Oryctolagus cuniculus: one gene and its partner. The main gene of each other region encodes a partner of the protein of the gene in region 2 in a complex. Links are inferred from orthologs where the notes say so. Each region holds a gene or a part of one and is shown on either strand. Other genes may lie near its edges. The genes, in order: MICOS13 and CHCHD3.

Region 1 (4,247 bases), on a different chromosome or scaffold from region 2:
CGCCCCGTGGGTCTTCGGAACACTCCTCGCGTGCGTGGATCTCAAACTGCCTCCCCGAGTTTCTACCACACACCAGAGGTGGCCTGTGCGTGGCTGCCCGAGGCTTTAGGACTGGGCGCTCTGGGGCGGGCTCCCGCCTGTCCTGACTTCCGGTGCCCACCCGGCTCCGAGTGCCGAGAAAGTGCAGGGCGCGCGCCTCAGGGCCACCCAAGCCACAACCGCGACGTGGGGCGCGCTGGCCCCCGGGGGTGTGTCCCAGGATTCCCCGGGGCTCACCCACCACATCCTGCGGTGAGGGGTCACTCGGGGTAAATCGCCGGGGGCTGCGCCAGGCCCGCAGGCAGGTGCAGTGACCACGACCCCCCAGGGGCAGCCGCGGTGCCCCCCAGCGCCGGCTCAGCCCCCCGAGCTCACGGCCGCCAGCGGTCCCGGCCACGTGGCCACTCGGCCGCCCTGCCTAGCGCCTAGTGCGGGCCTCTGGGCCCACCCCTCCCCTGTCCCCATGGAGGGGCTGATGGCCTCGGGTGCAGCCCCTCCCCCCGCAGCCGCCAGCTGCCACACCCCACGAGAGACCTCCATGGTCACAGAGCTGCGTGGCGAGGGGTGCTGCGGACCCCCAGGGCCGCCAGAAGGGACACTGCCCGCCCTGGTAGGGCAGGAGGGCCTTGGCACGCCCCCCGCCTCCGAGAGCCGAGCCCACCCTGGCCCCACCCACCGGCGCAGGGCCGGCCCCAGGCGGGCTCCCAGCCCCCCCCCCCCCCCCCCGCGGCGCCCGGGCCAGCAGCGGGTCAGGGGCAAGTGCAGAGGCCTTTATTGGGCCGGCCGGGCCGCTCACTGCTTGGTGCGCTCCCGCACGTACGCCCAGCCTTCCCTGGAGTACTCGCGGGCCTTGGCCGGGGCCGCAGACAGAGCCGCCATCACCGTGAGGATGCCTGCGGGGGAGGCGGGGCCGGGCACCGGGCTTTGGAGACCAGCGGGGAAACTGAGGCACGGCCCAGCCGCCCCTCCCCCCCTCGCCTCGAGATCCACGGGAGACACACAGCGCAGGAAGAGGGGTGGTCCCCAGGGGCGGGGCGCGCACCTACCTTTATCCCAGGTCTCTCGGATGGGGAAGCTGATCTTGGGAGGAGCCGGGAGCTGCGGGGAGGGGGAGGGGCACGGGCCGGTGAGCGGGGTCGGGGTGGGGGGGAGGGCGCCCCAGCCCCGCGCACGGCCTGAGCCGGAGAGGGCGCGCGGCCGAGTACCTGGGGCACCTGCAGGCCCGTCTGCTGGCACACGTACTGGCTGAGCTGGTACACGGCCGGCGGCACCACCTCCTCGGCCTTGCGCAGCGCCGCCTCGCCCCTGTCGCTGGGCCCCAGCAGGTCCTGGTCATACACCAGGTAGACGGCGCCCCCGGCCACGCTGCCCTTCAGGAGGAACCTGCGGCGCGGGAGGTGGGCGCTCAGGGAGGGCACAGGGCAGGGGCAGCGCGCACCCTGGCCTCCCGGGGGACGCCAATGCGGGACTCCCCGCGCCGGCCCCACGGCACAGGGCAGGGGCAGCGCGCACCCTGGCCTCCCGGGGGGCGCCAATGCGGGGCTCCCCGCGCCGGCCGACGGCACAGGGCAGGGGCAGTGCACACCCTGGCCTCCCGGGACGCCAATGCGGGACTCCCCGACCCCGACCCCACGGCACAGGGCAGGGGCAGCGCGCACCCTGGCCTCCCGGGGGGCGCCAATGCGGGACTCCCCGCGCCGGCCCCACGGCACAGGGCAGGGGCAGCGGGCACCCTGGTCTCCCGGGGGACGCCAATGCGGGACTCCCCGCGCCGGCCCCACGGCACAGGGCAGGGGCAGCGCGCACCCTGGCCTCCCGGAGGGCGCCAATGCGGGACTCCCCGCGCCGGCCCCACGGCACAGGGCAGGGGCAGCGGGCACCCTGGTCTCCCGGGGGACGCCAATGCGGGACTCCCTGCCCCCGAACCCACGGCACAGGGCAGGGGCAGTGGGCACCCTGGCCTCCCGGGGGACGCCAATGCGGGACTCCCCGCGCCGGCCCCACGGCACAGGGCAGGGGCAGCGGGCACCCTGGTCTCCCGGGGGACGCCAATGCGGGACTCCCCGCGCCGGCCCCACGGTACAGGGCAGGGGCAGTGGGCACCCTGGCCTCCCGGGGGACCCCAATGCGGGACTCCCCGCCCCGGCCTCACGGCACACAGGCGGCGGGAAGGGGCGACCGCGACCCCCGGTGGCTTCCGACCAGTCTGCGCTCCTATCTGAGCGGGGAGCAGACCACCGCGAGCCAACCGGACAGGCGGGGTGGGGGTCCTGACGGGGACTCTCTCGGGGGTTCGGGACCCCGCCCGGCCGCCCCACGAACCTCATCAGCGACCACACTCGGGCCACCATGGTCGCTCGGCTCCGCGCAAGGACACCACACTGCCCGCCGCTTCCGCTCGCGGTGCGCAGAGGACGCCGGGACCTGTAGTCTTTCCTGTCAGCCGCAAAGGCCTCCGGGAGTCGAAGTCCCGCTAAAGCCTCTGAGACTCGGGAGAAGGACTAGCGAGGGTCCTACGGGCAGAGAGGCTTCTGGGAAATGTAAGCTGTGTGGGCGACCCGGGAGCCGCAAGGCCGTCTGGGAAGTGTAGTCAGTACCGCCCCGTGAACTCGCTGGGCCGCGAAGCCTCCTGGGAAATGTAGTTTGGTCCTACCCCGGCGTCCGTGCGTGGAAAGAGACGTAGGGGGTCTGGAGTGAAGCCTAAGGGTGACCAAGAAGGGGTCAGAGGCGAAGTCAGCCGCGCCCGCGCGGGAGACAAAAGCCTTCGACCTAGGGAGCCCGCGCCGAGAAGGTGGTTGTCCCGGCAACGCCAGGGCGGGATTGTGGGCGAGAGGCGGGCCCTCGGTCACGTGATCGCGCGCCGTTCGGAACTTCCGCCCCGGGGGCGGGGCCACGGCGCGGGTGGCCGGGAGTTGGGCGGGCGGAGGCCGTTGCCAGGCAACGGGGGGCGCGGAGTCCTGGCGGCCCGGCCCCTCCCCCCGAGGAGGTGGGTTTGGCGTCACGTGACTCGGGCCCTACGGGAGGGGGCGCGGTCGGGGGCCCGGCCGCACTGGGCTGGGAAGGGAGACCCTCAGGGCGTTGGCGTGACTCCCAGGCCAGGACCCCAGCCTCGCCGGACACTGGGGCAAACAGGCCCGAGTGGGTGAGTGCGCAGCTGGGGGCGCGCGGTGGGTCCCCATTGTCCAGGGGGAAAGCTCCGGCCCCCCACTCCTCCCTCATCCCCGCTGGCCACTGTCGGTCCGCCCATCTCTGTCCATCTCACATCGTCCACTCTGCCTGGCTGCTGCGGGCGGGGCGGGGGCTGGGAAGAGGCCCCTGCCGAGGGGCTTCGTGCGCTGACCTGGGCCTGGGAAGGGGTCGGCCTGACCGGAAGCTGCCACTGAGAGCGGACAGGTGCAGCGACAGGTGGGCGGGGCCAGGCCATTGGCGCCCCCGCCCCAGGTCCAGCAGGAGGCGGGGTCCGGAGTCTGCGCGGGAGAAGAGGGTCGGGGGTTCCTGTAGGGGCGTTGCTGAGACCCGGAGGCCGTGCGTGGTGGGCGACAGCGTGGGAGGAGGCGAGGCCAGCACCTGGGCCCCCGCACCGTGTACTTGGGGCACGCTGGGGCCTGGGAGAGGCGGGTTGGGGTCAGCCGCTGAGCGGGGTCTCAGGACTCGGGCCTGGATCTGGAGATTGGAGACTTGAGGGATCCCCCCCATCTGCCCTGCGCCCCCTGGGCCGCCTCTGCCTTGGGCATCTTTGAGCTCCTGTCTGCCCGTGGCTTCTTTAGACAGACCCCGACCCACCCAGGCGTGATGGGCCGGTGCCTGCGCAGGACAGACTCCCCTATGAACCTGGGCTGTTTCTCCCTTTCTTTTTTCACAAGGGGTGTGTGTGTTATTTAATTTATTTATACAATGCATTTGAAAGCTTGAAGGACAGGGCGGGGTGCGGAGCTGGGAAGAGGTTGCTCTCAGCCCCTGGCTCACTCCCCAGACGGCCCCACCATAAAGGCTGGGCCAGGCAGAAGGAGCCCACTCCGGGGGCTCCCAGGCGGGTGGGTGGCTCCGAGGGTGTGTGTTAGCAGGGGGCTGGAATGGAGAGCAGACCAGGGGGCGGAGGCCGGGCTGCACCTGCCCCGGATGAAGTCAGGATTTCTCGCGGGGTTGGGGGGAAGACCAGGTGATCTTGCCGGGCAGCGGCAGGTGTGGTCCGGAAGGTGGCGGAGGAG
Region 2 (4,295 bases):
GGGAAACAGGCCTCAACAGCCCCACACTGAAACCGACTAAAAACACTTGAGTTAAATCCAGAGACTGCTGTTTCTTACCCTTCCCCACGCCTCAGAAGGAAACTAGACACTGCTTCAAGCCAAGAAAGACGTAAAAATTAACTAGAAAGAAAACCTACAAAATACCTAGACAAAAAGCACGCAGGCGACAGCCAGAAGCCAGCAACTCACTTCCCAGTCCACTCGTGCGTACATGTCTTACCTAAGTTTGCATGAGTTAATGTAGCCATTCCCTCAACGGTTCTCCTGACAGCCACAAGGCACTGTCAGATGCTCACATACATGACGTCAAATCCTCAGACAAGTGCCAAAATCTAGATTTACAATCAAAAGTGCCTTGTCCAGAGCCACCCAGCTTCTGAGAGGCGGAGCTAGGATCCAAGCTCAAGTCTGCTTTCCTTCACGGTATTCTCTTTCCACTATAATACAGAATCCCTGTGAAATGATGGCTGCCTTTTTGTATTTTTTGTTTTGTTTTGTTTTTTGGACAGGCAGATTTAGACAGTGTGAGAGGGAGAGACAGAGAGAAAGGTCTTCCTTTCCGTTGGTTCGCCGCCCCAAATGGCTGCTATGGCCTGCCCATCCGAAGCCAGGAGCCAGGTGCTTCTCCTGGTCTCCCATGGGGTGCAGGACCCAAGCACTTGGGCCATCCTCCACTGCACTCCTGGGCCACAGCAGAGAGCTGGACTGGAAGAGGGGCAACCAGGACAGAATCTGGCGCCCCGAACGGGACTAGAACCCAGGGTGCTGGGGCCACAGGCAGGGGATTAGCCCAGTGAGCTTCAGTGCTGGCCGATGGCAGCCTTTAATAAAACCTACAGAGGGCCAGAAGCAAAGAACGTACCTCATCTTTCCAGCACAAGACAGAAGCAACCGTGTTCCCCTTTATGGACAGCAAATATGATCAGACACGTGCCTTGTCCAAGGTCACGGGCTAATAAATAGCTGACCCAAGATTTAAACTGAGGGCTGTTTAACTGTACGTTGGCACCCTTCTGACAATAACTTCAAAGCAATCAGAGTGACCTCTCAGTACTCAATGATTCCACCGCGTGTCATTTCCAGAGGAAACTGCACGGCGCTGAGGAAGGCCACAGGACACAGACAGTGGCACGAGGGTCACAGAATTTCAGACGACCAGAGATCTGAGATCCTGCCCCATCCTCTTACAGATAAGGAAACCGAAGTGCAGAGACCGCCAACCCGCCCTGCAGCAGAAGCACTTGACGCCACAGCAAACAGTGTAAGGGCATCTAGGTGAAGGGCGTGCTATGAAAAAAACACAGAGAGGTTGCAAGGAGCATGGCGTGAGCTCGAATTGAAGGAGCAAACATAAGACGTAATATCGGAGAAGGAAAAAGAAAAAACTGAAGAATGCACTCGTCAAGTTTTCTATCCAAGAAAGATACTTCTTCAAGTTCTGAAACGCAGATTTTTAGAGCACCTTTCCATTTCAGGAGAACACACATCCCCACTGCCACCTTCCTCCATCTTCATACTCGCTAGGCATCTCTGAGCTGTGGCCAGACTCGCCGCCAGTTCTGTCTGCTGTCCCCCTGTGTCTGTGTTAGAGTGACACACATTTTCCTAACTAAAATCTTCTCACCTAAAACTTATCTTGTGCTGCCTTTCCTCTTTCACCCTCAGAGGTGGAACACCCACAGCCTAAAGGCAAGATTTTTTTTTTAAATCTCTGCATAAAACTCAGAGTTTCCAGTCCTTTTTATTGTACTCCAAGGAGGAGCAACTAAACCACCAAGAACACAAGAATGCAGCCTCAGATGCTATATCGCAAAATGCAGCACTGTTGTTAATGAATCAAGAAACCTTGGTCACAGACCAAAAAGAGTTCAACACTGTGCGTATTTAGTAAGTTTTATTTCCCGGTAACACAACAGTAAATACATTCATTGAGACTGGTTGTGTGACAGGACAGCAGGGGAGGGAAAATACAAAGTATCTTAAGACACCCTGAAGTCCACATGGCTTTATTTCCCGGATGCAGGCTGGTCCTTGCAGCGGAGAGCGTGTTAAGTGAAGTGAGTGCTGGTGTGCTGACTCCCTGGAGCAAAGTCAAGTTTGAGTTCAGGCGCCAAGTACGTGGAGAGGGCGTAAGAGAACTCGCTATCACCTCTCAGAGCTCTGAAACCTCGCAGGCCTATCCCAGCCCGGGCCCGGCCGGCAGGCACCAGTCCCGGGAGCCACAGGTCACAGAGGCAGCGCCCGGGAAAGCGCAGAGACCGAGAGAACGGGAAGCGGCGGGGGCGGCGGAGGCGCGAGCCAGGGCAAGGGGTGGCCCCGGTGGGAGCGCGCTCAAGGAAGGACTGGAAGCCGAGGCAGGCGAGCCGGCGGCGGCAGCGCACCCGGGGAGGGAGCCTGTGCCCGCGGGAAAGCGGGCTGCGGGCCCCGAGCCAAGGGGAGTGACACCGGACCCGCTGCACAGACGGGGCCAGGGCGGCGAGGGGCAGCGAGGAAGCCCCCGAGACCGCCGAGCAGGGCAAGGCCAGCGGAGGGTCTCGGGGCACCCGGCGCGCCGCGGCCGCCCCGCACTGCACCCCTCACCCGGCCCAGGGCCTCTGCACGAACGCCCGGAGAAGTCAAACTCCCGCATCCTCCCCAAGGCCGGCTTCGGGCCGGTGAGGTGCAGGGAAGGCCTGGCTGGGGGTCCGAGCAGCGGGCAGCAGAGCGGGTCCAGGAAACGCAGGGCAGGGGTCCGAGCCGTGGGCCGCCCGCCCGCCGGAACTCACCCGGATGCCCTTCACCACGGTGATGTTCTCATTCTCGTCCGCCTCGAAGGTGACCCGGCGGGTGCTGGCGGTCCCGCCCATGGCTCCTGACCCCGCTCCTGCACGGATCCAGCACGGACCACGAGCGCTTCACAACTCCGCGCACACGCGCGCCAACGTGCCGGGACCCTTCCCGGGCTGCACGGGAGCAAGGCCACGACCCCAAGGAGCAAGGAGAAGGCGCCGGTCTGAGTTCCCGCCTCCTCCGGTCACGTGCCGAAACAGCTACACCTCCGATTGGTCAGAGCCGCGAAGGGCCCGCCTCCACTCGGCGGAGGGTGCTGGAATTGGCTGGCCTGGACCCGGATGCTATGGCAACAGGTGCTGTTTGACAAGTTTCCGGAGCTCCCGGGTGAAGTGGGAATTGTAGTCCCTATCGGGCACGAGGGGTGGTGGGACTCTCTTGCCTCGTCCCGGAGGACGCAAGGCATGCTGGGAGTTGTAGTCTTTCCCTCCAGAAGGGGTTGCTCTCTGGGCAGCTTGGAAGAAGTGCAATCATCGCTCAAGCATGCTTTGAAGACGTTATCCTGAAAACTCAGCAGAGTGAGGTCAAAGACGCAAGCTCGTTCTTAACGGATCTCAGGTTCATGGGGGAGATGCACAGCTTCCTGTAAATACAAATCCCTGAAGTAGAAGTTAGCAGCTCATTATTTTAGTCTGAGTCATTAAAAAAAATGCATTTTCCTGTATCCCCATTTCATAAACTATGTAGATGTTTGATTTCTTCTTGTAAAGTGAAAACTTAAATGCTGTCGTTATAAAATCTACAAATGAGAAAACACGAAAAGTACATTATACTCCGTATACGGAATTCGGTTTCCAAGTTTGTGTCTCCTTCCACTTCTGTTATATACCTTGGACCATAACACAGTTACGAAGAGAAGAATAGTATAAGTTAGTGGGACTATGGAAACCACAGCAGGCAAAGTTGAGAGAATCCATCTTGGAAAGTTTCTGGTTCACTAGAGTATTTCATTTCTACAAGACCAGTAAACAATTTTCAAGTTCCACCTACATCCTTACAATTTTTTTGCTTAACACTTTGCTCCACATTAGCCATACGACCCTAGTTCTTTTTTTAAGATTTATTTATTTATTTATTTGAAAGGCAAGAATTACAAAGAGGTAGAGGGAGAGAGCGAGAGTGAGAACGAGAGAGAGAGAGAGAGAGAAATGTCTTCCATGTGCTAGTTCACTCCCCAGATGGCTGCAATGGCCAGGGCTCAGCCAGACCAAAGCCAGGAGCCAGGAGCTTCTTCCAGGTCTCCCATGTGGGTGCAGGGGCCCAAGGACTTGGGTCACCTTCTGCTGCTTTCCCAGGCCCATCAGCAGGGAGCTGTTTGGAAGTGGACCAGCCAGGACTCAAACTAGCACCTGGTGTGGCACAGTGCTGGCCCCATGACCCTTGTCCTTACAAAAGTAATGAAAATATGCACTACCTTCAGGTGGCCGCTTTCAACATTATCAACA

The links.
Region 1: CHCHD3 (region 2) and MICOS13 share a complex: the UniProt entries of both Homo sapiens proteins name them as parts of the mitochondrial contact site and cristae organizing system (MICOS) complex. The link is inferred for Oryctolagus cuniculus from reciprocal best matches to the Homo sapiens genes CHCHD3 and MICOS13.

The regions. Positions count from the first base shown.
Region 1 is NC_091447.1:60,302,017-60,306,263, forward strand, and holds MICOS13 (MICOS complex subunit MIC13), read right to left. Parts: upstream 2,842-4,247; 5' UTR 2,391-2,841; coding exon 2,362-2,390; intron 1,423-2,361; coding exon 1,245-1,422; intron 1,138-1,244; coding exon 1,086-1,137; intron 933-1,085; coding exon 832-932; 3' UTR 796-831; downstream 1-795. UniProt on the Homo sapiens protein: Component of the MICOS complex, a large protein complex of the mitochondrial inner membrane that plays crucial roles in the maintenance of crista junctions, inner membrane architecture, and formation of contact sites to the outer membrane.
Region 2 is NC_091434.1:168,943,943-168,948,237, forward strand, and holds the start of CHCHD3 (MICOS complex subunit MIC19), read right to left. Parts: upstream 3,039-4,295; 5' UTR 2,868-3,038; coding exon 2,787-2,867; intron 1-2,786. UniProt on the Homo sapiens protein: Component of the MICOS complex, a large protein complex of the mitochondrial inner membrane that plays crucial roles in the maintenance of crista junctions, inner membrane architecture, and formation of contact sites to the outer membrane.